Diceros bicornis minor: one gene and its partners. The protein of the gene in region 1 purifies or fractionates together with the protein of each later gene. This does not show direct contact. Links are inferred from orthologs where the notes say so. Each region holds a gene or a part of one and is shown on either strand. Other genes may lie near its edges.

Region 1 (7,115 bases):
TTCAGCAATATCTGGGCTCTACAGGACAAATATGCCCCAGTTTACACAACAAACAAGAAGAGCATCACAGGGTAACAGCGGAGAAAGCCAGGGATTAGCAGGTAGGTAAACAACATTGGGTTGGCACTTTCACTCTGCACATCCACACGGGTGACCTTACAAAACAAACGTCATCTTTCTGAGCCTCAGTTTCCCCGTCTATAAAGCAGACACAGCCACAGGGAAGTTATGAGGATTAAATGAAAGAAAAATGAACCAACCTGCGCAAGCCTGCCTACTGTGGCGCCTGGGCTGGAAAGATGCATAAATATTAGGTTCATTTTTATTTCCACAAAAGACATGGTCCTAAAGAGCTCTACCCAAATTCCACTTTCAAATATCAAATTCTGTTTTATGAACCCTGGTTTATGAGCAGCTGAGATAACCTCTGACCTATCCCATTAGTAATCCCACCTTTCCAATCCAATGCCATCAAATAAAGGTGTTATTACAGGTGCAACAAGCTTTTCTCTCCTCTTTCATTAATTCCTTAAGTTTAGGGTTTCATCCCTCACATCCCCTTAAAACAGACCGATTTATACCCACATGATATGAAGAATGAGCCCAATCCTGTTATACTCGGGAGCAGGTAAGAGCATCCCAGGACCTGAATCCTCCCACTTGGCCTCAGGCTCAGAAGAGAGAGTAACACTCCAAAGCCATCCTATAGCGTGACACTCTTCTAGTCATTGGTTGGAATCCTCCCTCCCCTCCACTTTTCCACATCAGCTTTTGCTTTCTTGCCTTCTACAGGGTTTTATTTGTTTGTTTTGCCTCTAAGTAGTTTCTTTGCTACAGAAAATCCCTCCCCTTTCCCTCTGATCCTTCCAAGTGGAAGCCTCCAGCAGGTATTTGTTGAATGCCTGGGTTATACTAGGTGGATGCTATGGGTACTAATGCTACCGTGTGGGATGCTGGAGATATAAGATGGGCACTGTACAGTCACAGCACAGGCAGTGTGGACAGGTAGGATGAGCGGTGTGCAGGGAGCAGTGTGCATGTTCTGCTGGGCTGTCGCGGTCTTCACTTTACTCAGGCTCTCGGCTTTGGGATGGGTAAGACTTCACCAGACAGAGAAGGGGCAGGACGAGAGGATGAGGAAGATGCACCCTGATGGAGAGGGCTGCCTTCCTCCTACAGCAAAATGTACCTGTCCTACGCTGGCTTCCTTTGTTTTCCCAGGTGACATTTAGCTCATCTTGCAAGCTCATCTCATTAATGTAATCATAAATGCTACTAAATTCATATGACCCATCATATATAACATGATTGAATTTTAACAATCCAATGCTTTAACCCCAAAGGATGGCTGAATGGTGAGGATTTCAGTCCCTGTTGTAGGGTATTTTGGGAGAGGAAGGCCTTTTGATGTCACACCACGTGGGTGCTTCCTAGGCAGGTCATGAGTGAGGCGGAAATGAGACTGGGACCCTGCTGAGCAGAGGCACAACCCTCAACACTAGATTTCAGGGTGCTTTTTGATCTAGCCGTGGTATTAACTGTCTCAAGAATCTCTTCTTAGTTTTTTTTTTTTTTACTTATTTATTTTTTCCCCCAAAGCCCCAGTACATAGTTGCATGTCATAGCTGCACATGCTTCCAGTTGCTGTATGTGGGACGCGGCCTCAGCATGGCCGGAGAAGCGGCGCGTCGGTGCACTCCCGGGATCCGAACCCGGGACGCCAGCAGCGGAGCGCGCGCACTTAACCGCCAAGCCACGGGGCCGGCCCTCTTCTTAGTTTTGATTATGGTTCAGGGAGAGTTGGAATATTCACCCTCCCCACTCACTGCATTAAACCAGGCGAAGGTTCTATCCCTCAGGTGGCATTATTTTTCTCCAACCACAGGGTGAGTCAGAAGGAAACGTACTCACTCCCATTCATTCTCTTTGCTTAGTATTTCCTGCAAGCAGGTTTCCTTGTGGAACAAACAGCTTCTGTGGGTGTGTGAGGGTCTTTAAAAAGAGAACATGCTGTTCCCATGAGTGGAACGCCTTCTGAAGGAAGCAGCACAGCAAACACGGAGCTCTGGTTCCGGGGCTGAGCAGCAGCTTCTCTCACAGGGGGCAGGAGGCTTAGAGATGGGGCTTGTCTGCAGGAGACACAGTGTCCTGACGTTCAAGCCATCTTCATTTCCGACTGATTGCAGTCATGGTATGGAAGAAAACAGAGTCTTGGGCTCTGGCCTGGGTTCAAGTCCTTCTCAGCCACTGACTGGCCATTTTCTCAACCATAAAGTGGGGATAATTAATCATAGAATTTACCTCATAGTCTTGTGTATAAAATGAGACAACATGCAGAAACTGGAGTGTGGCTAAGTGCCAACAAGTGGTAGCTGTTCACAAGGCCATTTTTGCTGCTGGGTTCCTGTCTTACTATGTGTGGCTTCAGGAGGATGATACGAGTTCTGTGAGCCTCAGTTTCCTCATCTAAAAAGTAGGGTCAATCTTACCTGTGCAAGCACTTAGCTGATTCTCTGGAACGGTGTAGATACTTGATAGACGTCAGTTTTCTTCACCTGCACATCATCTTTGTCTGCCTGTTGGCTCATGACAAATTCCTTCATAATAATTTCCATTCCAGAGGTATCTTGTTAACAAGTAAGTACTACTTGTTATGGGGACTAGGTACTTGGAGAGATACCCAGGAGAGGGAACAGGGAAGCTGAGACTGGCAGAGATAAGCATCTTGTCCTCTACAGTCCTTCACAGCGGTGGATCTGGTCAGCTACACACCCTCTTGTCCAAACTCGCTTCTCTGCCTCATGGATCAGGAAACTGCCTTAACAACTTGAGAGAATCCAGGAGTCTTGGCTTTAATGAAAAATTGGGAGGAGGGGGTAGAGGTTTCTGATAACCATTGTTTATAAAGTTGAGCCTCTCCAGCACCTGTGGACCTCCCTCTTGTAAACCCAGAGAACGCTGGAGTCCCTCCAAGCTATTTTTGGCTAAACCCCAACACCAGAGGCTGGCACTATAAAAGTTTCCCTCCAAATGCCCCTTTGGTCTTCCTCTACCAGAGACCTAGAGTCACAACCACATCAAGAACCATGTCCCTTATGCCATGTGTATGGATAGTTTGATGACGGATTAGGCACAAATGTGGCACAGGGGTCTCACAATTGCCTATGGGACATCTGCTACCTTCCTTTCGATTTTTGCCATCAACGGCTGCTCTAAAGCCCATTGCTTCTTAACGACAGCCATATGGTCCTAATCATCACACTGTGGGCTACTGCGGGGGGCGGGCGGGGGCGGTGATGAGGAGAGCTTGGGGACGCTGCAGAGCCGGGGGAACTGGAACTGCCACTAGGGGGCGCTCCCTGCGGCTTGAGCTCGACCGAGCGCCACCAGGCAAGAGGGGCGCCGCCACCCCGGAGCCGCAGATTTTCCCCCGGGTGCTTCCTGGCAGGAGGTGAGTTTGAGGAGGTTCCTAGGACCTTTGCTCTAACGCGAAAAGGCCCTCCCAGTCAGCCCCTGAGAGCTGAGAACCCACACCCTCCACCTCCAACCTTGGCAGCGTGGCTTTGCGTTTCCAGGGGCACGAGGCTGCGCTGGCTGCTGGGGATTGGGCAAATCCAGATCCTCTCTGGTTTCACCACTCGATTCTTAGAGTCAGACTTGTGTATTTAATGAAGCATCCAGCCCCTCTCAGACCCACGTGGGTCAGGGTCTAGGGATGCGATCCTCGAAGTGTGGTCGCGAGCTCGGCAGCTTCAGTTTCAGCATCACTCCGGACCTGGTCAGAAATGCACATTCTCAGGCACCGCCCTAAACCTAAATCGGAGACGGGGGGCGGGGGAGGGAAGAGATGCCAGCTGTGTTTTGCTACCCCTGAGGTGACTGCGAGGGGCTCGAGGGTGGCAGCCCCTGCCCTGGGGCTTCCGCCTTCGCGCAGGTGAGTGTGGATCGCCAGGCAGGAGTCCAGGTCCTCCGAGATCTCCGTGCCGCTGGCTCGGTGGTCACGTGTGCTCTTGGATTTTTTTTTTTCCCCAGCCCGCCTCCTGGGTCTTTAAAAGGAAGAAGAGGCTCTTCGTTAAGTCGTTTGTGATCTTCGCAGTGTCTCCAGCTGCTGTCCCTGGTGACACCCATTCCCTCGCCCCGGCTGCTAGGACGCTGGCAGGGCTGAGGCTGCGAGAACCGCCTCTGGAAACTTGCAGGGTGGAGAGGACGCGCGGGAACCGGGCAGGAAGGGCCATCCTGGGCTGCGACGGGCATCCCAGTGCTGCGGGCGAAGGCTGGCGATCCGGGTCTGGGCTGCGCGAGGTCCGCGCAGTGTCCGCAGCTGGTGGCCGCGGGCCGGGTGCGGGGAACAGAACTACTCCGGGAAAAGCACATGTGCGCGTTTCAGAGATTGCTAGGCCAGTGTTTACCTGCAAGGTAAGTGCCCCTTTGCTCGAGGTGTGATTTAATTCTCTTGATTTTCTGTTTGAAATCTCCGAGATGATTTTGCTAATATCCATGTCTTTTTAAAAGAAAAAACTCCTCTGGATTTTCTCTGTGGATTTCACGACAATGGGTGAAGTGTGACAGTGGGAAAGTTGGACCAGGCGCTTCAGGCTTGAGTTTTCTGGGCCTGGGAAGATGTATCACAGGCAGGTGACCGGTGTTTTAAAACGTAGTAACTGCCATTCCTAAGTCATATCAAAAAGCAGAATTACTTCTTTCCTGGGCAGACTGAGCAAAATTAAGATCTGGTCTGTTTTATTTGCTGAAGAGAAACACGCCTGCTGCTCTCTTGACCCTTCGTGTTACTTTTCATGCCAATTCATATTGGAAGTATACAATTTAGTGAAGGGAATATTATTTTTGTGAAAAACAAAACTTTGGATTTGAGTGGATTTCTTAGGAAAATAAGGTTGACTCAATTTTACTAGCTTTTTAAAAAGCAACTTTGTGCTTTGGTGTGGTACACAACACTTTGGAGGAAAGCATCTGCCTTATTTTGTTAGATTTCTAGTATTTACATGGGCATTCTGTTAGGAATTTTTACTTTTGTTATAAGTTTCTAAACCCACAGTGGCTATTTTCCTCTGTGTGTGGGGAACTATGTTATTGAAAAAGGGAACATGTGAAAGGAAAGGTTTGTGCTGTGAGTATTGTAAAAAGTAAATGCACTGTGACTATGAAAAAAAATGACTCTTTGACTCATTTTTTCTGTAGAAAATCTATATGTTTCTGCATACGTTTGACAGGAAGGAAAATGTAAGGATCTGTTCATCAATAGGTGTTAAAGCATAAATCTTAGGATTCTATTTTATGTTCAAGCATTTTTTTTCAGTTGAATTAGTGAAACATTCTTGCAGCCAGTCTCCTATAACACTTAAGACCTATAAATCTTCGAAATCAATTAAAAACATATTTAGGACAGATTTCACAGTGGTTCTGAGGGACTCAAATGAATCTAATCACCTTTTACATTTCTCAATTTATTTATAATATGGAATAGGTAAAATTTAGTCAATTCAACTCTTAAAAATATAATTAGCATTTAATAGATATTGATATGTCCATTTTTAAGAATACGACAGTGCAATTTTCTGTGTGTATTCAAAATACATCTTGTAATAGTTTTAGTTCATGTTTTGAGTCATTTTATACAATATCTATAAATAATAAAATATATAAAACACTGAAAGCTGAACTTGAATCATTTACTGGTAGGTTTTTTGATAATTACATTTAGAACCCTTGAGAAATGTATACTTGAATATTAGACTTCATAATTCAGTGCCTAGCACATTGTTCTAGACATAATAGCATTTTTGAAAAGTCAGACTTACTACAGTATAATTTCCATACAGTAAAATCTTGCCTCTTCAGGTGAACCCCTCTATGAATTCCGACAGTTGCACACAGTTTAATAATCACTTCCATCATCAGGACAGAACAGTTCTGTCACTCCCCAAGTCCCCTTTGTGCCTTTGGATTCAACCCTCTCCGTCCACCCCAACCCCTGGAAATCACTGAGCTGTTCACTGATTTTATAGTTTTGCTCCTCAGTATTTTTTTACCTAGAAATAATTATCTTCCTTTGCTCTTCTCAAAAGAAAACCTCGGTTCCTCCTTTTTGATGGAATGAGTCAGGTTGTGGTATTTTTGTTTTAATCCTGTATAATTTGGGGTAAATTAAGGCAAAGAGAAAGCTATTTTGCAAATGGGAAACTAGAGACTGGAATTAAGTGTTAAATTCATATTGGGCTAATAGTTTTAATTCTTAGCAATTTTATATTCCATTCTAGTTTAAGCCTTGGGTTATGATAGGCATCATTAGTTATCCCAAACTGAAATATAAGGTCATTTAAAAATATTCATGTAATATTAATAGAATGTATTGTTCCTTTATAATCTTGGCATTTAAAAAATACTTTTACTATACTTGGGATTAAGAAAGTTTCCTGAAAATTACATATTATCAAATAGTGAGGAGCAAAAGAGTGATTGAAAATTACAATTTGGAGACATTTACAATAAAATATAGAATGATTGTGACTGCTTAAATTAAAATATTCTTCTTAACAGGAGCTAAGTTCTGTGCCCAATTTATTTGTAGATGTCAGGGTTTTTTCATTTCTGTGCTCATGCTTTGGAATCTAGATTTTCTTGCAGAACACAGATGCACAATCTTTTGTAAACTAATGTTCTTTACTGTTTAATACATTGTTCAATTTAGTAAACAGGAGACTGTTATTTTTAGGCACTCCTAATAAAGATATGTCAGATGATGTCTTTTTCCTTTGTGCTGTGAAAAACAAGAACCTATATTTTAAATATGCAACTTACCTTTCAGAGACATGGCAGTTACTAGGCTATGCAGAGTGGCAAGTTTATGAGGCACAAGCAAAGTGCGTAGTTGGCGTTCCTAGCCGGAACTGTTACAGCTCTTCGTAATTAAGGGCTTTTAGCAGGGAATATTTGTGTGGGTGTCCTTGAGTGAGGGTCACTTGGAAAGGCAGACTACTGGACTTGTGTATGTTTCCTCAAAGCAGGACTGCAACCGTTTGTTGGTAAATGTTTTGTGTTCAACTGTCAGACCAAGGACTGGACTGGGAGTTGACTATATTCAGTTTAACTTCTGC
Region 2 (7,973 bases), about 4.8 Mb from region 1:
AACCCACCCAGTTTTTGATACTTTGTGATGACAGCCCAAGGAAACTAACACACCATGGTATGTCATTGTCGCTTGAGAAGAGCTGAAAGCACAGAATGGCTGCTGAGATAATGAACCTAACAATACAGGGCTGATTAGAGGTTGCCAACTATAGTTGGGACCCACCTGATTAGGTTCCAGTTAAATACTCAGATTCCTGAGCCTCCGATTCCTGACTCAGGCTCTCTGCTAAAATGGCACTGGGAATCCGCATTTGAAATAGTGCCCAAATGATTCTTTGAGTTAGAGGATAATAGAGAGTAGACGTAAAAGTGGGACAGAAACAGCAGCTAAAGCTAGAATTTAAGCTGAGTATGAATTCATAGCACAACCTGACATAAATAAGTGCTATGTTGCGGACCTATAAAGAATTTCTAAGTTTTGGCAACAAATTCTGAATTGATATTACCTTCTATCCCTGCCTATGAAAATATTCTCAGGAGCCCTTACGATGAGCTTCTTTGCTGCTTCTCTCTACAGATACTGTTTCTCCCTCAGTTCAGGCCGCATCAGAGATCCTCTGCCTAATCTAAGTTCTTTTGTTGTTTTTTTCGTGAGGAGATCAGCCCTGAGCTAACATCCATGATAATCCTCTTCTTTTTCTGCTGAGGAAGACCGGCCCTGAGCTAACATCTATTGCCAATCCTCCTCCTTTTTTTTCCCCCCTTTTTCTCCCCAAAGCTCCAGTAGATAGTTGTATGTCATGGTTGCACATCCTACTAGTTGCTGTATGTGGGACGCTGCCTCAGCATGGCCGGACAAGTGGTCCGACGGTGCGCACCCGGGATCCGAACCTGGGCCTCCAGTGGCAGAGCGCGCGCACTTAACCGCTAAGCCACGGGGCCGACCCCCTCTTCTAAGCTCTATTTCACTCCAACCTTCCCAGGCCTTGGTGGTCAGGACTCTGCAAATTCAGTAGAAGTGCTTCCCACTTCTGGGATTTCGCTGGCCACTCTAGTGCACAGACAGGTATCACGGGAAGGTCATGCTGCAGCTTTGTGAAAGGGCATTGATCGGAAAATCAGAAAGTGGATGTTCTGGGCAGACCAGATCGTTAGATTCTCTAAGCCTAAATTTCCTCATTTAAAAAATGTTATAATAACACCTACATGGAAGGGCTGGCATGAGGATTGACTGAGATAGTGTGTGTAATGTCCTTAACACAGCTCAGGAAACAGCAGCTGTCAGTATAAAGGGGGAGGGTAGGGACGATGTGCTTAGGCGCCCTGAATTTAAGTTTCTCTTGATGTTAGAATGGTTTGTGTCCCAAACCTGCTTCCCCATGACTGTCCCAGTCCGGGCTCCAGCCATAACCTGAGTGAGATGTGAGTCCTTGGGGGAGGGAAGATGGAGCCAGATGACAGATGGAGTTCATGGAGGACAGAACAGTGAGTTCCTAGATCCAGGTCAACACGCCTCTGATCCTCCCAGCTGAGTATTAGAATCACCTGCAGCCCTTACTAACAAATAGGGCTCCACCCCACACCAGTGAAATCAGAATGTCTGCCAGCAGGGACCCAGCAGCAGAATGTTACAGACACTTCCGGGTGATTTCAGAGCACAGCTGTGTTGAGAAAAACTGATCCAGGCACTCAAATTAAAGAAGTGGGTCCACAGGCACTTTAATTACTGTGCACGACTAAAGGACAACAACAAAACACCAGGATGTTGGAATAGAGAGAAGTCAGAGAGGTATGTAGGGGTGAATCTGAACAAAAACCGAACATTTTTAAAAACCATCAATTTTCAAGAGTGATTCCTTAAGGGTACTCTTTCAAAAAAATCTTTAGAGTTATTAGCTAGAAGCGAGGGAGCAACACTTTTTCTTAGTGTTGGGAGTTTCGGATATGAATTTTTAAGCATCTGGTGATATTTCGGACTGTTTCAGAAAAACAAAATTGCTGGTAAGAATGAATATTGTCCCCAGGCATGTAGTTGTGTCATGTTAAGTGGAAAAATAAATATAAATCTGGATATACACTTTTGATCATAAATACATTAAAACAAAGAAACATGGAAAAATACCCATGATTAAGTTTTATGAATAAAAAACCCTCATAATGCCAAATTCTATAAATGAGGATGATTCATATTTTGAAAATGCAATTGTGCTTACAGGAAAACACTAAAGGGAAATATAAAAAGCCAAATAGTTATCCTCCAGGGTTAGGGATAAGGATGGCCTTTTAAATTCTCATATCTATATTTTTTAAAATGATGATGTATTACTTTTGAATTGGAAAACATATATTAAACTCTCAGGGGTAAAAACATGAGAACGAAATACAGCAAAATATAATCAGAGGTTGATTTGGTGAGATGGATCATGAGTGTTCTCCTCTTTCAATTATTGTTCCTGTTGAACATTTTTGGAATAACGAGCATATATTTCTTATTATAATTGGAATAAAATAAACTATTTAAAAATCAAGATCAAATCCTTGTCTTCTTCTTTGATTTTATTATCTGACAAAGGGAGTTGGGTGGAGCATTCCCAGAGCAGTTTAAAGTTTAGGAATCAGCTCAGGGGTCATGAAAATGGCCAGATGGTAGATAGTTTAGGTATTGTGGTCCACACGGTCCCTATCATAACTATTCAGCCCCGCTTTTGTAGCAGGACAACCGAGGTAGACAATAAGTAAATGATCAGGAGTGGCTGTGTTCCAAAAAAACTTAATGGATACTGAGCTTTGAATTTCATATGATTTTCATACGCCGTGAAATATTACTCTTCTTTTGATTCCCCTCCCGCACCTATTAAAAACGTGAAACCATCCTCAGGCCCTACAAAAACAGGTGGCAGGCTGGATTAAGTCCACAGGCTGTAATTTGCTGACCCCTGAGTTAGATGAAATTAGGAACGTGATGAATGAAACATCCCACAGTTATGCCGAGAGTCCCCAACAGACATGGCCAATCAACTTTGTGTTTATTTTAATCCGTGATTTCTCTGCATTTTTCCTTTACTAAAGATTTGCTATTCAGATGTCTTAGGAAAAGGATGCCAAGCCATTTTGTTGAAACATTAATATAGGAACAGTACAACCCACCCCCCCAAATGCTAATGCAAATCCAGGTCTACAAATATTGAGTCTTTTCTGCTAGGCATTTCTGGGAAACAAAAACATGAATAACACATGTATATTACAAGTGAGTGATGAAGGAATTATACACAGAATATGTAGGATCACACAGGAGGGAGAGTAATTCTGCTCATGGAAGATGACTTTGTGTTTATTGGAGAAATTGGTAAGAATCCGGAAGGGAGATTTACTAGGCAGTTGTCATAGAAAAAACAAACATTGCAGAAGACAAGTGGTTTAAAACACAGACTAAGTCAAGGAACTACTAATGAAAAATTACCTTTGTGGAAATGACAGACTTAACAGTAAATAAATCAAGAGGAAAAGCTTTATAAAAAAATTAGTCCTGAAGAAAACCACACCACCACGGGCTGAAGACAGCAGCTTTTTCCATGGCATACAGCACCCTCATTCTTGTTTCTCACGCCCAGAAAACCTTTTCCAGATTACTTTCTCTTATTGCAGCAAAAATAACATTTAGTGAGTGTAACCACAAGCAGTTGCTTCATAGTCGACGCAAAATGTAGAAACTAACTGGAAGACCTATTTTTTTAATTATGCAAAAAGCTAACAAATGTAATTAAATAAGTACTGGTGCTTGGGACAATATGTGTATTATAAATTGCCAATGTTGATCAGGCTGGCAGCTAAAGATAAGTGTTTTCTTTTAATTTAGCTAATACATATTTTCTTTTAAATCCATCTTTCATTCCCTCACCATAAGGAGCTAAAGTTCACAAGTACACAGCGTGCTGTGTACACGCTGAAGCACTTTTTAATCATTAAAATGTATGAATGGACGAGCTCAGCCATACAAACCATCCAAGTTCTAGTCCAGAGTTCCTACCGGCCCCAGATAAGAGTAAGGTCCGGAAGTCCTGCTCTTTGTAGAACTACTTTATCACCGTGTAACTCCAGTGGCAAGCAGCAACCCTAGATTCCCGGCACCTCTCAAAAATGGAATGCCTTGGGTTCCACCTAAAAACACTCAAGAAAAGTCACCTTTTCACTATCGGTCTCTTTATGCCTAAATTTCTAAGCCTGCCAGCATTACTGGGAAAACGCGGAGGTAAGGAGGGGGAGGACTATGTTTCATACCCACTTTGAAAACACAGAGTTTCTGGAGAATGGTAGACTTCCACGTGTTACAGAAACCCGAACAGGGAGGGTTAACCAAACACCACTTGAACTTAAAAGTAGCTTGAAACTTCCTCCAGCCAGCGCAGTCCTAGAGTAGCGGAAATGCAGAAATCTGCGTCCTGGCCTCAGTTTAAGATGGCCTTCCAGCTGCAGTTCCAATTTCAATATTTCACCACGCAAAAACCTTCCATTTAAAAAATACTGCGGTCCCTTAGTCTTCTTACCATAACTAAACCACACGTCCGTGGTAGGGCTAAAATAGTCACTTGAGCATCAAGGAGCGCCCTCCAAAGCGCAACCTTAAATTGCAAGCAGCAAGGGGTCAGAGACGGCCAGATATTTTTGCAAAGCCTGAGTTTCTTTTACCAGTACACCTCGGAGTATCTCGAAAAAAATTTAGATGGAAAAGGGGTGTCATCTGTCTTAGGGTGATTTTGTGCGAGACAGAACGACGAAGCCAACCTCACGGCCTAGGAGAGGCGAACGTCTTCAACAGCTGTACCCTCAGCGCCGGCCACCTGGTGGCCGCGCCCACGCCCCGCCCCCGGCCCCGCCCCTCGCGGTGAGGGTGGCTCGGCGGTCACCGTCCAGAGTCCCGGGCCCCGCGGGAACTTTGTCCCCGGCTCCGGGGGGGAGGTCCAGGGGCGGTTCCGGAAGTGACGCAGGGGCGCGCCCTCCATTTTGTGGAACGCCCGAGCAGCTAAGTGCGTCAGTTGTGGGGAGACGTAGACGAGTTGGGTCCTGGTCTGCGGGGAGGCAGACGGCTCCGTCGCAGACTACGGACCTCTCTGGGTCTCTGCTGCCAAAGATCCTGTCCGGTAGGTGAGTGGTTCACTTTGAGGGCAAGGCTTCTCGGATCGAGGCTTCTTCATGGCCGCTCGGATGGCGAGTGGCCGGGGCTGCTCTCTTTGCGGAGGACGGCGTCCAATGAGCGCAGTTTACTCGAGGTGGGCGCTGGGGCACGTCTCCCTTGGGGTCTTGTTTGAGGGGAAGCTAAGGTGGAAGGGCGGTCGTGGTTATGGTCATTTTCACACCGAGGGGTTGGATGCCCCTCCCTGCCTCTCTACCTCATCACTGTCCGAACCCCCCCGAGTGGCGGGCCGAGATCTTTGCTCGGGGTGTGGCTAGGGCTTTCCGCGGGTGGGCACACGGACTCCGGAACCGTGGAGTCGGGGGAGGGGGAGGGAGAAGGGAGCTCGGTACGCGCGGCTCTCCCCACCGCTGGCTACGCCGCCGCCATTTTGTGGCTGCCCGGCGTCCGCCCGCTGCCGTCTGCGCAGGCGCGGCCGTGGCGTCGCGAGATTCCGGCTTTCCCCCGCTGTGACGCTCCCGGGAGGCGGCGACGCGCGCGCGGCCCGTCGCCATTGGGCTGGCCTGGCGGAGGGCGGGGCCGGCTCCGCCCGCACTTCTCGGCCTTTCCTAACTGCGGCAGATGGGAGGGGGCCAGAAGAGCCGGGGAGAGTGTGCGGCTGCGCAGTTCCGGAGGCGGCAGTGGGCGTTGCGGTTGCTGCGGTCTGGGCCCAGGGAAGGATCGTGTTGGGAGCCGAGTTTTAATTTTGTCTGCAAGGGACCTGGCCTAATAAGAGGCGCTCTTGGCAATCTTGTTTGTAACATCACCGGGTAAACATTTTATTTTATGCTGTTTATGTCTTTGACCCCCTTGACCAGGGATTCCTCGGATGTTCACTGGTATTATCTCAATTGAATTATTTTCGAACAGGACCTCCTAGCCGGACGTCATGAGTGGCTGTCGGGTGTTCATCGGGAGGCTAAATCCAGCGGCCAGGGAGAAGGACGTGGAACGATTCTTCAAGGGGTATGGACGGATAAGAGACATTGATCTGAAAAGAGGCTTTGGTTTTGTGGTAAGTGTTCAGATTGGCCGGATTATCTATTGTGGAATAGGTTAAGATTTTGATAAGCAGTGTTTTGGATCTTACTGGGTCCAGGTGGAGTAGCTTTAGAAAACGTTGTGAATCCTTAAGGTGGTGAAGTTTCCAAGGGGATGAAAGAACTTCACTGCTGGCTGGAGGGAAACCGCTGCTGGTCTCTTCTCCATCAGGCTTATCTATATGGCACTGTCATTAAGAGATGCTCCCATTGTGTCACATGTCTTTAGCTCTCTTATTATGTTGTAGAATACACTTTTATAGCCATGTTAACGCATTGTGTTTTTTTCATGCTTCTATTTAGGAATTTGAGGATCCCAGGGACGCGGATGATGCTGTGTATGAACTTGATGGAAAAGAACTTTGCAGTGAAAGGTGAGAGTCTTATTTTTAGTTTTATAACTAGTTAGCGCTGTGAAATAGAGCAGACTGGGTCAGCGGGGGTGTTTTCTTAAGTAGATCACTTATATAGCTTAGTGGATAATGAAGATTTTTCATTCCTTCCTGTAGGGTTACTATTGAACATGCTAGGGCTCGATCTCGAGGTGGAAGAGGTAGAGGACGCTACTCTGACCGTTTTAGTAGTCGAAGGCCTCGAAATGATAGACGGTATGTGGTGGATCATGGATGGCTGCTTTGAATGATCATTGCTGCAGAAGATGTATTTAATGTTCAAGAACCATTAGTAATAGGTGATTCTGGCATTTACTGTGTAATCGGTTTGGTTATTCCTGTGGTAGTCCACTGTTGAAAGTCTGTATAATGATTCATATAAAAACAATGTAGGAACTGTTGATGGAAGCCATTTGAATGACTTGTCATATCTGATTGCTTGAACTTGCCCACAGTTGAACACAATAAGTGCACCTCACTGCATTTCTTCCATTGTGAGTACTCATTTTCTTCCTCAGAAATGCTCCACCTGTAAGAACAGAAAATCGCCTTATAGTTGAGAATTTATCTTCAAGAGTCAGCTGGCAGGTTTGTTGAAATACAGTTTTGAGTTATTTTAATGTGGCTTTTTAAAAGTTAATGGGTAGCTAATTTTTATTAATATGTTTTGTTAAAAGTAGTTTTAAATTTAATTAAATTAATGGATTTAATTGTAATTTTAAAATTTTAATTAAACGTAACTGGGGGATATTTCAAATTTTAATATTAGTGATCAAATGTAAATGTTTTGAGGATATTTTTTCTTGTTTCTTAAAATCAATTTTAACCAAATATTAAACCCTTTATTTGCCAGCCTATCTGTGTCGTTGGCCTTATGACGAGGAGTGCCTGTGGGTTATCCTAATCGTTGTCTTGGTCACTCTTGGTTGGGCCTGGTTGACTTTGCCAGTCAGCTCCTACAGTGATCAATTGGCCACCTCTAGATCTGTGTTTGCCGGTCTAGACGTAATCGGTGCACTTACTTGAAGTGCCAGGTTGCAGCGATCCCAGAGCGTTGATAACGTGATCTGATTCCTAAGTTGAGAGCTGTCTTCTGTAACGCTTCCGAATAAGAGGTCCTGGTCGAAAAGAGTTGAAAGATACGAAATTAGGTGGTCGTTGGAATCCTGATCGCAGTAAAGTGGTCCTTGGTAACTGCACGAGAGTAGAACATGTCTGCATCGCCAGTAGTCTGCTTATAGGGAGGGCTGTGCGATTAAAGGCTTCCATCGATTGGGTAGTGTCCTTCAAGTGGGTGGCGAAGAGCCAGTCGGGCATATGTCATGAAGGTTTCTCCGACCGATTATTGGTTTGCTGCTTGACTAGCCTAGGGATATAATAATAAAGGTAAAGTAAACTTTTTTAATGACATATGGGGCACAAAATAACT
Region 3 (7,805 bases), on another chromosome or scaffold:
CAGCCCTGAGCTAACATCTGCCAATCCTCCTCTTTTTTTGCTGAGGAAGACTGGCCCTGGGCTAACATCTGTGCCCATCTTCCTCCACTTTATATGGGACGCTGCCACAGCATGGCTTGCCAACCAGCGAGTTGGTGCGCGCCCAGGATCTGAACCGGCGAACCCCAGGCTGCTGGGGCGGAAGGCATGCATTTAACCGCTTGCGCCACCAGGCTGGCCCCTCATGGATTTTCAATGTATACAATCATATCATCTGCAAACAATGATAAATTTGCCTCTCTCTTTCCAAAAGTTATAACCCCTTTTTAAAAATTTCCAGTCTTATCATATTGGATTTTTCAGAATAATATCAAGTAACACAGTGATGAAACTAGACATTCTTGTTTTATTTTATCTTTACATAAATTGTTAACTTCATATATATACATATACATGTTTATATATGAAGAATATTAAGACTATTAAGAATGTTTACAGAAAACGGAATTGACTTACTGTGTTCTCTTTGGTGACTATTAAATGATCAAGTGTTCTTGGTTTTTTTTTTGGTGAGGAAGATTAGCCCTCAGCTAAGATCTGTTGCCAATCCTCCTCTTTTTGCTGAGAAAGATTGCACTGGGCTAACATCCGTGCCCATCTTCCTCTACTTTATATGTAAGTATGTAGGTCCACGCCCAGGATCCAGGCTGTGAACCCTGGGCCACCAAAGTGGAGCATGTGAACTTAACCACTACGCCACCGGGCTGGCCCCAATTATTTGGTTTATTTTTGATGTATTACATAAATAAATTTCCTAATACCTAACCTTGTGTTAATTGCTGGGATAAACCCTAACTGGTTGTGGTATATAATTATTATGTTAATATACTGCTGAATTTTATGTGTTAACCTTAAATATTTTAGGATTTTTACATTTATATTCATAAGTGAAATTGGTCTATAGTTTTCTTTTGGGGCAGGTGCTATTTCCGACAGGTTTTGATATTAGGTTTATTCTGCCTTCATAAACAAATTGGGTAGTTTTCCATCTTTTTCTATGTTCCAGAACAGTTGCTACTTTCTATTCATTTTGACAGATAAACACTGTATAATAGAGAAGAGAAGGAAGAGAATGCAAATCAGCACAGATTATTTTGCCTCAGTAACTCTGCCACTTTTGTAGCTGGAGGACAGCCTTGATTGTGAAGAAGCAATTTGGAGCAGTAGGAGGGTCAAATGGGCCATAATTCTGGTGTTGAAGAGTGCGGCTGGCTGGTCAGGAACAGAGGTGAGTGAAGGTGGTCCTGGGGAGGGAGGCAAGCGCCGAGGGAGGAGAGGAGCACAAGAGAAGATGAAAGCAGTCTTTACACCGGACTGAGGTGTTCAAACAAGGACATAAAATCAGAATCAGGTAGAAGAACTGGGCCTGAAGGTGAGGAATGCTGGTGGGCTGATGGGAGGAGGATCTGGGAGTGCGTACTCCTGCCCTTCCAGAAAAGTTTCCAATGCTCTGGCCTGTTGGTCACTGGCTCCTGTTGGAGAAAGTAACATTATTTCTCACCCAGGGTATTTGTCCTTCTGTCCTACCATCTCCCTATCTTCATCACAGCAAAGGCCTACATCCAATGTAGGTTGATAACAGTGATTCACATGCTTCTGCGCACAAGAGTTCAGCATGGAGAGGAGAGCAAGGGGAAGCAGAGCGTAAGACAGACTTCACCAACTCCAACTCTACGCCTAGGGCCAAGTCTTTCACAAGGTTCTCTATGTCTTTTTCATTCCTTCCCTTCTGCTTCTCTACAGCTCATACAGGCAGACCCATAGCACACGCTGTTTTTTAAGGCGCAGGAAAGAGTTGTAGGAAAGGCGAGGAGCAATGTGGTGTGGAATTACTGGGAACTGTTCTGCATCACGCTAGCCACACAGCCGGGGCCATTTTGAATGAAAAAACAAAGACATCACAGACAAATGAAATGCAGCCCATCTGGGCCAGCCCCGTGGCTTAGCAGTTGGGTGCGTGCGCTCTGCTGCTGGCAGCCCGGGGCCCGGAACCCCGGGCGCGCACCGACGCACCGCTTCTCTGGCCATGCTGAGGCTGCGTCCCACATACAGCAACTGGAAGAATGTGCAGCTATGACGTACAACTATCTACTGGGTCTTTGGGGGGAAAAAATAAATAAATAAAATCTTAAAAAAAAAAAATGCAGCCCATCTAAACTGACGTTAAGGTCAGCGAGAAATTCTAGGCTCTTTTTACACAAATCCTTTTGAAAATTATTTTAACTGATGGCAAAACTGACATTACTGTTTCATAAATTTTCCTCTCTCTCTCTCACCCCTGGATGGGTTAGTTAACAATCAACAGAGCAGCCACCAGCTTGACATCGGGAGGAAGATGCCAGGAGCACAGATGGTCCACAACCCAGATAATTAACTTCTGAAGAAGAAACAACATCTAATAAGTCTTCTGTGAATGTAGAGTTTGGTTGGGCACAGCTAGGGCAGAGAACAAGCAGGCCCCCTCAACAACTCTTTTTTACCTCTTAAAATGTCGCTGGAGCACTCACCCACTTCCTGGGACAACCACCTACTCAAAAGACCTGCAAGGAAGAATTCCAAACAAATGTTGTAAACACTCCGCCCTAAAGGAGGGGGAGCATAACACATAACACCTCACTCCTTAAGTATGGGATGCACACAGTGACTTCCTTCCAAAAAGTCCAGGATGGAAGGAGTGTAATTTTACAGTGGGGAAACCTGATAAACACCTCTTCTGCCAGGTGATAAAGGTGAACATTGACAGTCATAAATTATGCTGATAGTATGTACTCTTGATAAGGGGTAATGAAAATGGCACTTGACCTCTGTGATCTTCCTCCCCAAAACCCATAACCCCAGTCTAATCATGAGAAAACCATCACACTAATTCCAATAGAGGGGCATCCTACAGTATACCTGACCAGTATTCCTCAAAACTCTCAAGGTCATCAAAAACAAGGAACATCTGAGAAATTGTGACAGCCAAGAGTAACCTAAGGAGCCATGACAATTATATGTAATATGGTATCCTGGATGGGATCTTGGAACAGAAAGAGGACAGGAGGTAAAAACTAAGGAAATGTGAATAAACTACAGACTTTGGTTAATAATAATGTGTCAATATTGGTCCCCGAATTGTAATAAATGTACCATGTAATGGAAGATGTTAACAACAGAGAAAGCTGTGGGATGGCATGTGGGAACTCACTGTACTATCTGCTCAAATTTTCTGTAAATCTAAACTATTCTTAAAAAATAAAGTCTAGCAATAATAATAATAATACCTGCAGGAATCAAATGAAGACTAAGACGGGACAAAAGCACCTCCAAACCCTTTAAGCTTCATAGGCATTTTCTTAGTTCTTTGGCTTTCCGACTTTCATCCTTTTGGGGCACTTACATTACACCCAGGGCTCCTTAGAACTTACCCTCTCCACACCCTTCCCGTGTTTCCCAGGACTCTGTCCCCGACGGGCCGTGGTGATCTCATTCAGTCTCATGGCTTCACTCACCACGGCTCTTCTGGAGATTTCCAAATCTTGTCTGGTTCAGATCACTGTTCATCCAACTCGCTATTACACAGCGCCCCCTAGACGTCCAATTCAGCATTTCCAAACCCAAACCCTGATTCTCCCTAAACCCGCTTCTCTCAGTTATGGTCTCACTTCACCGAGAGGCCAGAACCCTGGGCATCACCCTCAGACTTCTGTTTCTCACGGCTCCCTGCCACTCAGTCCCTAAGTTCTGTCAACGCCTCCTGCTTAGGCCCTTTTGTACTGTGTTCTTTCCATTCCGCTGCCAGGCCCTCAGCACCTCTGGGCTCCCTGCCGTCAGGTATTCCCCTTCTGCTCCCTATGTCTTTCCTTGCTTCATTTCTTTCCTCCTTCTCTGTCCTCTGGCAGTTATTGAAAAAGAAAAATGTAGAGATTCTCTCAGGCCTCCGCCAGGCAGCTCCATGACTCCTCCCCACTATAATCCCTCACAATGAAGTTTTCTCTATCGTCAGATGTGTGTGTGTGCGCGCGCGCTTAGGTGTCTGTTTACCTTTTGTGTTTGAGATATAGAATCACGAGGAATTAGTGGCTGGGTTGCCACAATCTATTTAAAAACATACTAAGAGGACAAAGCTCATTTTAAGAGCATCAGCCATTAACCCAGTTTTCTCAGTGTTCAGATGGACCTAATTAGTGACACAACAACCACCTTTGACTTAGGTAAGGGAAAAAGCTGACATAAGATGGTTGCAGAACTCAATCAAGTTAAGACCAGAAAATGACGAAACTTTAAAGAGTGTAAGGAAAGAAAAGGAGACTTAAAAGACGCTGCTTACGGCCGTATTGCGCGAGACGCAATAAAGTACCAGCCCCACCGAGCCAGCCAGGAGTCGAACCTGGAATCTTCTGATCCGTAGTCAGACGCGTTATCCATTGCGCCACTGGCCCTGAGACAATGGAGTTCTGCCCCATGATGACACTTCAAGCTTATACTGCAGGGTTTCATGGGACGTGTAGTCCCTCAATGGGATTCCACGAATACAGGAAGCATTATGGGAGATTGAAGTTCGTTGAGAACCAGCCCCTGAGATTGGTGGGTCTGCCGGAGCCACGCCGCACGTCGCTCGGCAGCCCGCGGATTGGCGGGAGGAGCCACTCCCCACCCCTCCGCCTCCTGCTCCGCAGCCGTGGAAGACGCTCTGGTTGTTAGGCCGACTCGTCCCGCCTTCTGGGGGCTTTTTTTCGGTTTTGTGATTGGCTGCCAGTAGCGACGAATCCCGGCGTGGACAGCGCGAGGGGAAAGATGGCGGCAATGGCGGTCGGAGCTGCCGGTGGGAGCCGCGTGTCCAGCGGGAGGGACCTCAATTGCGTCCCTGAAATAGCTGACACGTTGGGGGCTGTGGCCAAGCAGGGGTGAGGGCCTGGACCTCCGCAAGCGGAAGGCGGAGTCCGAACTCGGGGAAGGAGAGGGGCAGACAAGTCATCCCCGGGAGGCAGGGGTGAGGGGGTCGGAGTGGATAAGATGAGGGCGGGAGAAATCGTGACTCCTTGGCAGGAGAAGCCTCGGGCCCTGGAGCGTGAGAAAAAAAAAACTTATTGGGGGCAGATGGTCACTGAGGTCAAAAGTTGGGGGAGTTGTCAGGTAAATTCAAAAGGGGCGTTCAGAGCTCCAGGGCCCTGGAGAACGAGATTATCGTCTGAGAATGGGAGTGTTAGGAAGCTAGCGAGAAGAGATGAACCTTGAGGGGGAAGCATGGGCAGTAGTGGGCAGATCTGGATGTGACAGTCCTGGGAAACCAGTGACAGCAGAGTAGAAAATCCACTTGGAGTGGATTTTCATTTTTTCTCCTTACTCTTTCCCATGGCTGTGTTCTGGGGGCACATTGAGGCACAGTGCAGCGGAAGTGATATGCCCCAAGGTGGGCTGAACTCAGCAGTCCGGTCGCGTGGACTGATGGCAGCTGAGAGGGTTGTGGAAGATCGAGGTAGCCTAATCCAGTTGCTTGCATCTCTGGGCACTGCTGCTCTCTTTACATGACGATTCTGGGTCTGTCGCGGTTGTAGGTTTGATTTCCTCTGCATGCCTGTCTTCCACCCGCGTTTCAAGAGGGAGTTCACTCAGGAACCTGCTAAGAATCGGCCGGGCCCCCAGACACGATCAGACCTACTGCTGTCAGGAAGGGGTAGGGACCATCCCATATGCCCCTTAATTAATAGAGGCAGTAACAACTTCTGCTTTATCAGTGCCCTCATTCTCCTTCTTTCCTGACTTGGCTATATTGGTTAGTCCCTGAGATATAGATGACTTGTTCTCTCCTTGCTTACCTTAGAGCCTTAGTTCCCTATTCTGCATCAGGCTGTCCTGTATCTGTGATAGGAAAAGGCTTTGTGTCTCATCTCTACTCTCTATTCCCTGTTAAGAACTAGAAATTGAAGGAGTAAAGTGCTGAACCTCATTCAGTCTTTGTCTTTCTTGGGTGGGGGAGTGCAGACTGGAATACGCTAATTGTGGGAAAGCTTTCTCCATGGATTCATCCAGACTCAAAAGTGGAGAAGATTCGCAGGAACTCAGAGGCGGTAAGACTGTTTGACCTCTCCACTGGATCTTTTTAAAGATCAGGTCTGTAACCAAGCTGGGTGGGGAGAGCAGTTTTTTTACCCCCCATAATTTACTAAATCTGATATACTATTAAACCTATTCGAGTTGCTAGCTCTTAATCTTTTCCTCTTGATCTTCATTCCAGGCCATGTTACAGGAGCTGAATTTTGGGGCATATTTGGGTCTTCCAGCTTTCCTGCTGCCCCTAAATCAGGAAGATAACACAAACCTGGCCAGAGTTTTGACCAACCACATCCACACTGGCCACCACTCCTCCATGGTATGGCTGAGGGCCTCTTTTCCTGTTGCATATTATGGTAGTCAGGCTGTGCTAAGTACTAAGTAAGTAATGGCTTGCTTACTTAGCCATTCAGTAAGGGGTGCATTTAGCAGAATTGAAATGTCAGTACTGCTTGCACCCCCTCTAAAAGTGGTAAGCAGAGAGTTATAAATTATATATATAAGAATATGTAATTATTTCCTGAAACTTACAGTTGGAATAAAGGACAAGGCAGATATTTACATAAGGATATACACAAGATATAATCACAAATTGGGAAAAGCATATAAAGGGACTAACTCGAGATCTGGATCAAGATCTTTTTAATTGAAGGAAGCATTCTGGACCCAATGGGTTCAAAATAGAGTTCTTAATAGGGTACTTGTTCATGTGCAGTTCTGGATGCGGGTACCCTTGGTGGCACCAGAGGACCTGAGAGATGATATAATTGAGAATGCACCCACTACACACACGGAGGAGTATAGTGGAGAGGAGAAGACATGGATGTGGTATGTCTCCTTTTGCTGCTGTACCAGGGCAAAGGGTAGGGTGAGGGGAAGTACCCAGTAGAACCTGTAGGGAGGTCTCCTTGATTGGTGGGCCATATATACTTGACTGTATTTTTCTGTATTTAACTCTGGACAGGTGGCACAACTTCCGGACCTTGTGTGACTATAGTAAGAGGATTGCAGTGGGTAAGTCCACGAGGGTCTTGGGATGGGTATCCCTTCTCTGACCTCTTGTGAATAAGAATCAGGAGTTTCATGTATACTTGGCTGCTGGGCAGTTTTGCTGCTTTCTCTGTGCTTCAGTCTGCCTTGCTCTTAAGGAGTAAACAGATCTTGCACAAAAGAGCAAGGAAAGCCTTCTTGCCTAGCAGTGGTTGATGGGTCTTTCTTTTCCCTTGTGTAGCTCTTGAAATTGGGGCTGACCTCCCGTCTAATCATGTCATCGATCGTTGGCTTGGGGAGCCCATCAAAGCAGCCATTCTCCCCACCAGCATTTTCCTGACCAATAAGAAGGGATTTCCTGTTCTTTCTAAGATGCACCAGAGGCTGATCTTCCGGCTCCTCAAGGTGGGTGGTTATCTTCTAAAGGTGCTCCACCTAATCCTTTTGCCTTATTCACATATGTATGATGCTTTTTTCCTGTGGGGCTGACCCTTCTCCTCTCTGGTGTCTGAAGAGCAATTTCAGCAAAGTTGCGGGTCTTGAGAGCAGAAAGGAAAATGGCAGTAGGAGCCCCAGAAACATTTCAAAAGGAACCAGATCTCATGAAAATTTCGCAGAAGGTTTCATTTAAGAAATTACAGAGAGGATCCTTGAGGTCCTTTGAGCCAGGATGATGCTTTTATGGCACAGGAGGGCTTTATAAGTTCACTGAAGCCTCATGCTGTTTTTGTTGGTATTTAAAG
Region 4 (7,646 bases), on another chromosome or scaffold:
TGTGGAGCTTTCAGTCCAGAGGGACAGACAGACAAAATTTTGGAAAATTCTAATACAACGTAGGAGAGGACAGGAGGGCATTTAATCCTCCCTGAGATAAGAGGTAAGAGTGGGGTGGGGATTCCTGAGACAAATAAGCAGAGGAAGAGGCTACAGGTATTCCAGAAAGAGAAGAGAGTGCCAACAAAGATTCAGAGGGAAGGAAGATGTAGCCAGAGGGACTATCCCATGAAGAAGGGGGTGGCACTGGTAAAGGGTCTTGGGGAGCTGGAGGGTCTAAGAATGTGTGTCTAGGTCGCTGCAGTAGTTACTAAAGAAGAGTCTAGATGTGAGATCAAATTTAAGAGGCCTGAAGGAGCCGGATCATGAACAGCCTTGTGTGCCATTCTAAGAAGTGTGGACTTCCCCTCAGGATAGTGACAAGAACCAGAAGGGTTTTAGGGAGAGGACTAAGTGATCCCTCTGGTTACAGTGCAGATGGTGAACTGGAAATGAGCGAGACTGGAGACAGGAAGACCAGTTAGGAGGCTGTTGGAATAATCCAGTCTGTGAAGGTGCATTGTGGTTGTGGGTCTCTAGGGGAAAATCTAGGGCGAATTTATTTCCAACTCCACCAGATACTGCCAGTATTCCAAGACCAGTGGTTCTGCAACTGCAAACCCATAGCTGGCCACTGACTGGGGTCAACACAAGTTGGTGAACCTGTCATGCCTGGGGTCTTCCACTGGCCAGGATGTGGAAAATCACAGAACTTGAAACTCATCTAAATTTCTAAGCCTTGTCCAGAGGAGTTGCTGCAGCTCTCTAAATCCGAAACCTTGGATTTTCTCACTTTTTTCACTGATCTGTTCGTCTATGCCCCACCCCCATACACTTTTAAGACCATGTAAATTCCTATCATCTGTCCATTCAAGTGCCACTGCCTTCATATAATTTTCCCTAATTTTCATTTCCCAAACTCCAAATAAGAATTAACTGTCCTTATTTTAATATCTCAAAGAACTTTGTGTAGACAGTTAAAACTCAATTAATTGGGGCAATGAAGGAAGTTACAATAATGGATCAATTAGACTAGGGTGCAGTCCAACCCCTTACCCCAGGTAAATCACACATTGTTTCATTGCTGAATGCTTCTACTTGCAGTGCACTCAACAGCTTGGTTGAACTCGTCCTTAGTAATCAACTGTACCTCCATTTAGCACTTATTTTGCCTTAGAAATAGTTTATTTTTATTAACAAACACTCATATAGCACTACGTGTCTGGCACATTCTAAGCACTTTACAAATAAGCCTCTTAACAACTCTACAATATAGGTACTAATATTATCATCTCCATTTAGAGATGAGAAAACTGAGCCATTGAGGAGGGTTTCACACCTAATAAGTGATGGAAACAGAATTTGAACCCAGGAAGCCTGGCTCAAGGGTGTGTGCTCTTAACCACAATTGTATGTGGCCTCTCTCTCTTCCAGTAGATCGTGGAAGCACCAAGCTCTGCAAACTGTTTTTTCTGAATTGTAACTGCAAGCCAGAGATGTGGCAGGAGCAGGGAATACAAATATAAAGGCATAGTTGTTGCTCTACAGGACTAAATTATTTGTTTATTGAACATAACAAACCACAAAACTATGGCTACAAACAATAGCCATTTACTTGCTCACAATTCTGCAAACAGGGCTAGACTCACCCATTTGCAGTCAGCTGATGGTTCAGTTAGGACTGAAGGATCCAAGATGGCCTTACTCATGTCTGGCATCTTAGCTGGGAGAGCTGGAACAGCTGGAAGCTGGTTAGGCTTCTCCCGTGGTCTCTCATCCTAAAAGATGCTAGCTCGAGTTTCCTTAAATGGTGTTTCAGGGCAGCAAAAGAGCAAGAGAGGAAGCAGCAAGGGCAAATTCTAGGCTTGGAACTCACCCAATGTCACTTCTGCTGCATTTTTTTTGGCCCAAGCAAGTCATAAGGCCCACTCAGATTCAAGATGGCAGATGGTTATACAATGGCCTGAATTCAGGGATGTGTGATTCATTAGGGGCTTTTTAATAACAATCTACCACAAGAAGCTAGTAGTTTTAGTGGGGGATGATTGTCATAGAACATAGGGCTATAATAGAGATGGGTTACAGTGCGATAGGGATGTAGGGAAAGAAACCTCTGAATTGGTTGAGGGAATCAAGGATAGCATCAGGCAAGCAGCATTAACACAGACCCTCAGACTTGGAAGACAGGTTGTGTTTGGGAGGTTAACGTGGTGGGTGGTCCACAGAGGGATGGGGAAGGGAAGGAAGGGCATTCTAGGCAGGTAGAACAGCAGGTGCAAAGGCATCAATATGTGGTACAAGAAAGCGTCGTGTACTTGGGGAATAATAAATAGTTCAGAATGGTTAGAGTAAAGGGCACTTGAGGAAGACCGAGGGTGAGGAGGTTGAAGAAGGCTGAACCAGATCAGGAAGTGGCACGTGTGCCTTGCTAAAAAGTTTTCAAATATTGCCTTTGGGGAGTAGGTCATTGAGAAATTTTGATCAAGGCAAGCACATGATCTGATTTGTGTATTTGAAAATCACTTTGGGAGTCCATGAAAGGGGGATGAGATGGAAATCAGGAAGACTGGTGAGAAGGTGATTGCAAAATGCCAAGTATAAAAAGATAAGACCTGAAGAGAACAATGGCATAGGGAGCAGAGAAGAGAAAAAGGGTTCCAGAAATATTTATGAGTTAGAATGAATAGGATTTGGCAATCGAAGGAAGAATATAGAATGACTCCCAGGTTTCTAACTTTGGCAACCCAGTGGATATAGGTGGCAGAGTTTCAAGACGAAAATGCTCTTTTAAGTTTTGTACTAATTGACTGATTTTGAGCTGCCTGTGTGACAATCAACAGAGATGTGGGGTAGACAAGTTGGATATACAAATCTGAAGCCCAGGAGAGAGGACCAGACTGGAGATACAAATATAGAATTCATCAGCAAACAGGTGGTAGTAAGAAGCCATAGATTTCCCAGAAGCAAATAGAATAAAAAGAACAGAGGCTGGGGATGACTGAAAGAGCTACATTTAGTGATGAGAAGAGGAAGAAAAGTCCATGTAGGAAACTTAAAAAGAAGAATTAGAAAGATTGGAGGAAAACCAGGAGGCGTGGTGCCCCAGAAGTCAAGCGAGAAAAGAGTTTAAAGAAATTCAGGAAAGTGCTTATGGGATTTGACAGTTGATCATTGGTGACCATACTGAGAGCAGTTTTGGAGGAGTTATGATGCCAATACTCTGACTGCTTTGAATTGAGGAAACCTGTGAGAGATTGCTTGTAAGTGTGATGATGGGTGAGGGGGAGTTGCAGGAAGTTAAAGAGTTCCTTCATAGAAAGCGAAGTGATCTACCAAGAGGGAAGTGTGTGGGCTTGAAGAGTGTTGAGGGGCAGGGAGGAGGCTTGTAATAGTTGTGCTAAGAAAGAAAATCTTCTTTGAATGCCACTTCCTGCCAAGTTTCTGCTCTATATTCTTCTCACTTTCATGCTAAACTTTGGGGAAACTCATTTTTCCCCTTCACTCCTTAAAAGTGCTTTCATCGTAGTCTGGCATTTGTCTCTATATAACAATGACTTGCAAAAAAAATCAGTGACTTTTGTTTCACCTAATGTACATTGTGTCACTCAATATTATTTGTTCAAAAGAAGGAATATGCTTGATATTCTTAACAACATGCTCTGGGATTTTAGCTAAATTATTTAATTCTGATGTCCAATAGTGAAATGAGAATATAAGCTAGCTCTGTTTCCTCCCAACCTCAATGGAATGTTGGAGGAGTTGATGAAGTGAGATTGTAAGGCACATTGACCATCTCTGAGATAAGTAGCTATAATTATATATTACATATATATAATTATAATATAGCTATAGTAGCTATAATCTTCCTAATAGGATTGTCTCAGGGATTAAATAAGATAACGTAAAATAATGTAAAATTCTTAGTAAATATCTGACATATAATAGTAAATGGTAATGACTATTTGTATTTTAGTTTGAAATTTAGCAAACCAATATTTAGCGAGTGAAAAAAGAAGGTCCAGCTGTTTGGGGGGCACTTAGGTAGAAAAATATTTGGTGTTTATGAAATGATATATCTGGGAATTTCTTCAAAATAATCTCCTGTGTTGGAAGTGGGGGACAGGAATTATTCTAATTTTGCATTCATGTGAAAATTTCATAATAAAAAGTTATGATTTGTTTCACTCTATGCAACTCTATGTTAACGCAAAACACTTGGTATATTTAAATGTAATGAAAACTTTGTAACCGATCAAATGGCTTTTTGAGGTGTAAGCCCCCCTCACCCTACTCCACTCCCCAAAGTAAAAGAGTAATGCAAGGAAGATTTAATTTCAAATGGAGATAATGATTTGATCTTACGGCTTTTATAATATCATAAATGGGCGTCATTTCAATAACTAGTCTCAGAATATCTTTTCCACCTAACCAACTTCATTCATCATTAGAAAGAAACTACAAGTTCCAGGATGCACTGCACAATTAACGTCAAATCGAGGACCTCGCCTCTCCGAACTGGTTGTCCTCGCCTTATTTGAATGGGAATAATCCCGGAGAAAACTGACGTGTGTGACCTAGAGCAGACTTTCGAGTCTTTGTACGGCGAGGTCGGCCGAGCGTGCCGTTCGGAGGGGACAGCATGGTACCTTTCTGTTCAGGCGTCGCTCCGGGCAGCCTCACCCTTTTCTGGGGCCTCCGTGCGGCAGGAGGACTCCGTTAGTGCGCCTCCAAGATGGCGACGCTGTTGGCGGTAAATTCGGGTAAGTGCGGCCGGGGCAGAAGGGAAACTCTGGGGCCGAGCGATGATCAGTTCTTCAGTGAGAGACCAGGCTGTCAGGTTGCTCGGAGTCCAGGCCCCCACTTGTGCTTGGTCCCGCTTTTCCCGAGCTCTGGGCCTCGAGTCCCGCCCCTCCCCAGTTTGAATGGCGCGCGTCGGCGCTGCGGCTCTAGTCCTCGAGTTGGCTTTGAGGGTCCAAGCAAGGAGGCTTGGTCCATTGCAACCGGGCAGTCTCTCGCAGGCCAGCGCTGAGCCTGGTCCCTTCCACTCCTCGTGATGTGTTTGTGGCCTGGATTTCGCCTGAATATGCAAGACTCCGGCAGTAAGGCCGGAGGACCCCATGTATTTTCAGCCACGAGCGCAGGCTGAAAACTCGCACCTCAAAGCAAGCACCGGGGCCCCTCATGGAGATTGGGGGGTCCTGCAGGAAGCGAGGATTATGAAGCCCGCAATCCGGAAGGGGCCCGGGAAGGAGGTGCCATGGGTACAGCAAATGACTCCGACCTCTGCGGGTGTGGCCCGTCTCTGGATGCTCCTGGACCTTTGGAACAGTAGATCTTCGCGGCGGAGTAGAATCTAGAATGTAGTAAAGGAACTTGGAAGATTTGGGATGGGTCCTCTTTTGGTAATTCTCAATTTGGGTTGGCACCGCCCCCCAGGGGCGTTTTAAGAGTGGGTGCATTTTGATTGTCACAATTCCTAGGATCCGCTGCTGGCGCCTCGTGGGCGGGGCAAGGATGCCAAAAGCCCTTCCTGGGGCGGAGCGGTCCTGAAAACGAATAATTTCCTGCTCAGAATGTCAGTGCCTGCATTGAAACGCACATAGCTTCATGGGCCACTTAAGAGTATGTCTGTATGGTAAATGCTTGTAGAGAATTTCATTCAAGAGGAGTCTTTCCTGGACACCTTTTCTTTCTGTCTCTAATTGTGCAGTCTTTTTTTTTCCCCCTTGGTTCTGGTTTGTTATACTTTGCACAGGACTGATATTCTTGAAAAGTTGTCTAAATCTGAATTTTGCAAATCAAACCATTTTAGAAATACTATGATAAATTATTTTATAATGATGGATTATGTTTATTGAACACCTGCTGTGTCCCAGACGCTGGACTAAGTGTTGTACATATACCTGTGTGATAGCTGCTGTTAAATACCTCATTTTACAGATTTGGAAATAGAAGCTTAGAGTGTTTAAGTAACTTCCCCAAGGTTATACAGCTAGATTCTAAGCCAGTGTTAGGTGCTTAAACTACTACATGCTACTACTTAAGCACAACCTAATTCATTTTATTACATCAAAAATTCATATATCTGAATGTTAGTAATGAAGTTACTTCCTTCATATTGCTGTCTTGCCTTTCCACCCAGATATAAACTTAAAAGCAAGGCTTGCATGTTATATGTGTGGTTATGTATGTTTCTTTAGTAATACTCCTACCAGTTACCATAATTAAACATAAATGGTTGAAGGAAAAAGGAAAAGGAGTTGCCAGCAGCTGCAAAGAGTATACATTGTATAATAAGGCCTTGTGGCAGGAGTGTTTAATTGGCATCAGAAAAGAAACGTTTTTAAAAGCTCAGTCAGGAGAATATTTTTTTTAAAAAGTTAAACATTTTAGAGAAGCAGCCCAAATGTCCATAGAAGGATGAATGGATAAACAAAATGTAGTATATACATACAATGGAGTCTTATTTAGCCTTAAAAAGGAAATTCTGACACATGCCACAAGATGGATGAACCTTGAGGACATTCTGCTAAATGAAGTAAGCTAGTCACAAAAAGACAAATACTGTGTGGGGCTGGCCCAGTGGCATAGTGGTTAGGTTTGTGCGCTCCGCTTTGGTGGCCCTGGGGTTCACGGGTTCGGATCCCAGGCGGGGACCTATGCACCGCTCATCAAGCCATGCTGTGGTGGCGTCCCACATACAAAATAGAAGAAGATGGGCACAAATGTTAGCTCAGGGCCAATCTTCCTCAGCAAAAAGAGGAAGATTGACAATGGATGTTAGCTCATGGCCAATCTTCCTCACCAAAAAAAAAAGACAAATACTGTGTGATTCCACTTATGTGAGGTGTAGAAAGTCTTCAAACTCAGAAACAAAGAATGTTGGTTCCAGGGGCTGCGGGGAGGGGGAGTTGTTGTTTAAGGGGTACAAAGATTCATTTTTGCAAGATGAAAAAGTTCTGGAGATCTATAGTACAACAATGTGAATGCACTTAACACTACTGAACTACACACTTAAAGTTGTTTAAGATGGCAAATTCTGTTATGTGTTTTTTTCCACAATTCAAAAAAAAATTAATCATCTTAGAGTTGTAGAAGGGGGCAAAAATAGAGATTGTAGAGTTCTAAGACCTATGCTTGAGTTTCAGCTGCATGATTTACTAGTGATGTGACTGTCCCAGCTGAGTAGCCATACAGGCTTGTTGTTAGTAAGCCACCATTAACTCTGCTTGACACCCCTTCTGTGGCAGTGTGGTCACCCTTGTCCCGTTCACATCAGTGACTATTTCAAACCTTTTCCACACTCCTCAAATCTTTGTCCTCCAACTGACCCCTCATTTTCCTCGTCACAGAGGAGATAGATGCAAATGGGCATGAGCTCTTTCTTTTTTCACACTCAAACCTACAAACCTAGATCTGTCTGCACCCTTTTGAATCAGTTTCCTTGTGGCTCTCTATCAAAGGTAAATCCCACCCTTTATGCCCTTCTGCCTATTATCCTTTCTCTCTCTTGTATATTCACCTCTCTTTCTTGCTCCTTTTCTTTCCACTAACCTCCCGTCTTTATCTTGATCTCCTGCCTCACTCTGTCTTCTTGCTCCTCTTCA

The links.
Region 2: the proteins of ESR2 (region 1) and SRSF5 purify together in Homo sapiens (affinity purification with mass spectrometry; 3 studies listed by BioGRID and IntAct, with this or other methods). This does not show direct contact. The link is inferred for Diceros bicornis minor from reciprocal best matches to the Homo sapiens genes ESR2 and SRSF5.
Region 3: the proteins of ESR2 (region 1) and PRMT5 purify together in Homo sapiens (affinity purification with mass spectrometry; 3 studies listed by BioGRID and IntAct, with this or other methods). This does not show direct contact. The link is inferred for Diceros bicornis minor from reciprocal best matches to the Homo sapiens genes ESR2 and PRMT5.
Region 4: the proteins of ESR2 (region 1) and NUP205 purify together in Homo sapiens (affinity purification with mass spectrometry; 3 studies listed by BioGRID and IntAct, with this or other methods). This does not show direct contact. The link is inferred for Diceros bicornis minor from reciprocal best matches to the Homo sapiens genes ESR2 and NUP205.

What each region holds. Positions count from the first base shown.
Region 1 is NC_080763.1:13,372,568-13,379,682, reverse strand, and holds the start of ESR2 (estrogen receptor beta), read left to right. Parts: upstream 1-4,099; 5' UTR 4,100-4,416; intron 4,417-7,115.
Region 2 is NC_080763.1:18,188,761-18,196,733, forward strand, and holds the start of SRSF5 (serine/arginine-rich splicing factor 5), read left to right. Parts: upstream 1-4,965; 5' UTR 4,966-5,084; intron 5,085-5,090; exon of another isoform or gene 5,091-5,209; intron 5,210-5,829; 5' UTR 5,830-5,882; intron 5,883-5,982; 5' UTR 5,983-6,001; coding exon 6,002-6,127; intron 6,128-6,455; coding exon 6,456-6,526; intron 6,527-6,661; coding exon 6,662-6,760; intron 6,761-7,062; coding exon 7,063-7,132; intron 7,133-7,973. UniProt on the Homo sapiens protein: Plays a role in constitutive splicing and can modulate the selection of alternative splice sites.
Region 3 is NC_080744.1:24,804,198-24,812,002, forward strand, and holds the start of PRMT5 (protein arginine N-methyltransferase 5), read left to right. Parts: upstream 1-4,792; 5' UTR 4,793-4,815; coding exon 4,816-4,925; intron 4,926-5,576; coding exon 5,577-5,695; intron 5,696-6,003; coding exon 6,004-6,089; intron 6,090-6,256; coding exon 6,257-6,391; intron 6,392-6,787; coding exon 6,788-6,900; intron 6,901-7,036; coding exon 7,037-7,086; intron 7,087-7,303; coding exon 7,304-7,467; intron 7,468-7,805. UniProt on the Homo sapiens protein: Arginine methyltransferase that can both catalyze the formation of omega-N monomethylarginine (MMA) and symmetrical dimethylarginine (sDMA), with a preference for the formation of MMA.
Region 4 is NC_080742.1:84,080,771-84,088,416, forward strand, and holds the start of NUP205 (nuclear pore complex protein Nup205), read left to right. Parts: upstream 1-4,632; 5' UTR 4,633-4,771; coding exon 4,772-4,799; intron 4,800-7,646. UniProt on the Homo sapiens protein: Plays a role in the nuclear pore complex (NPC) assembly and/or maintenance. May anchor NUP62 and other nucleoporins, but not NUP153 and TPR, to the NPC.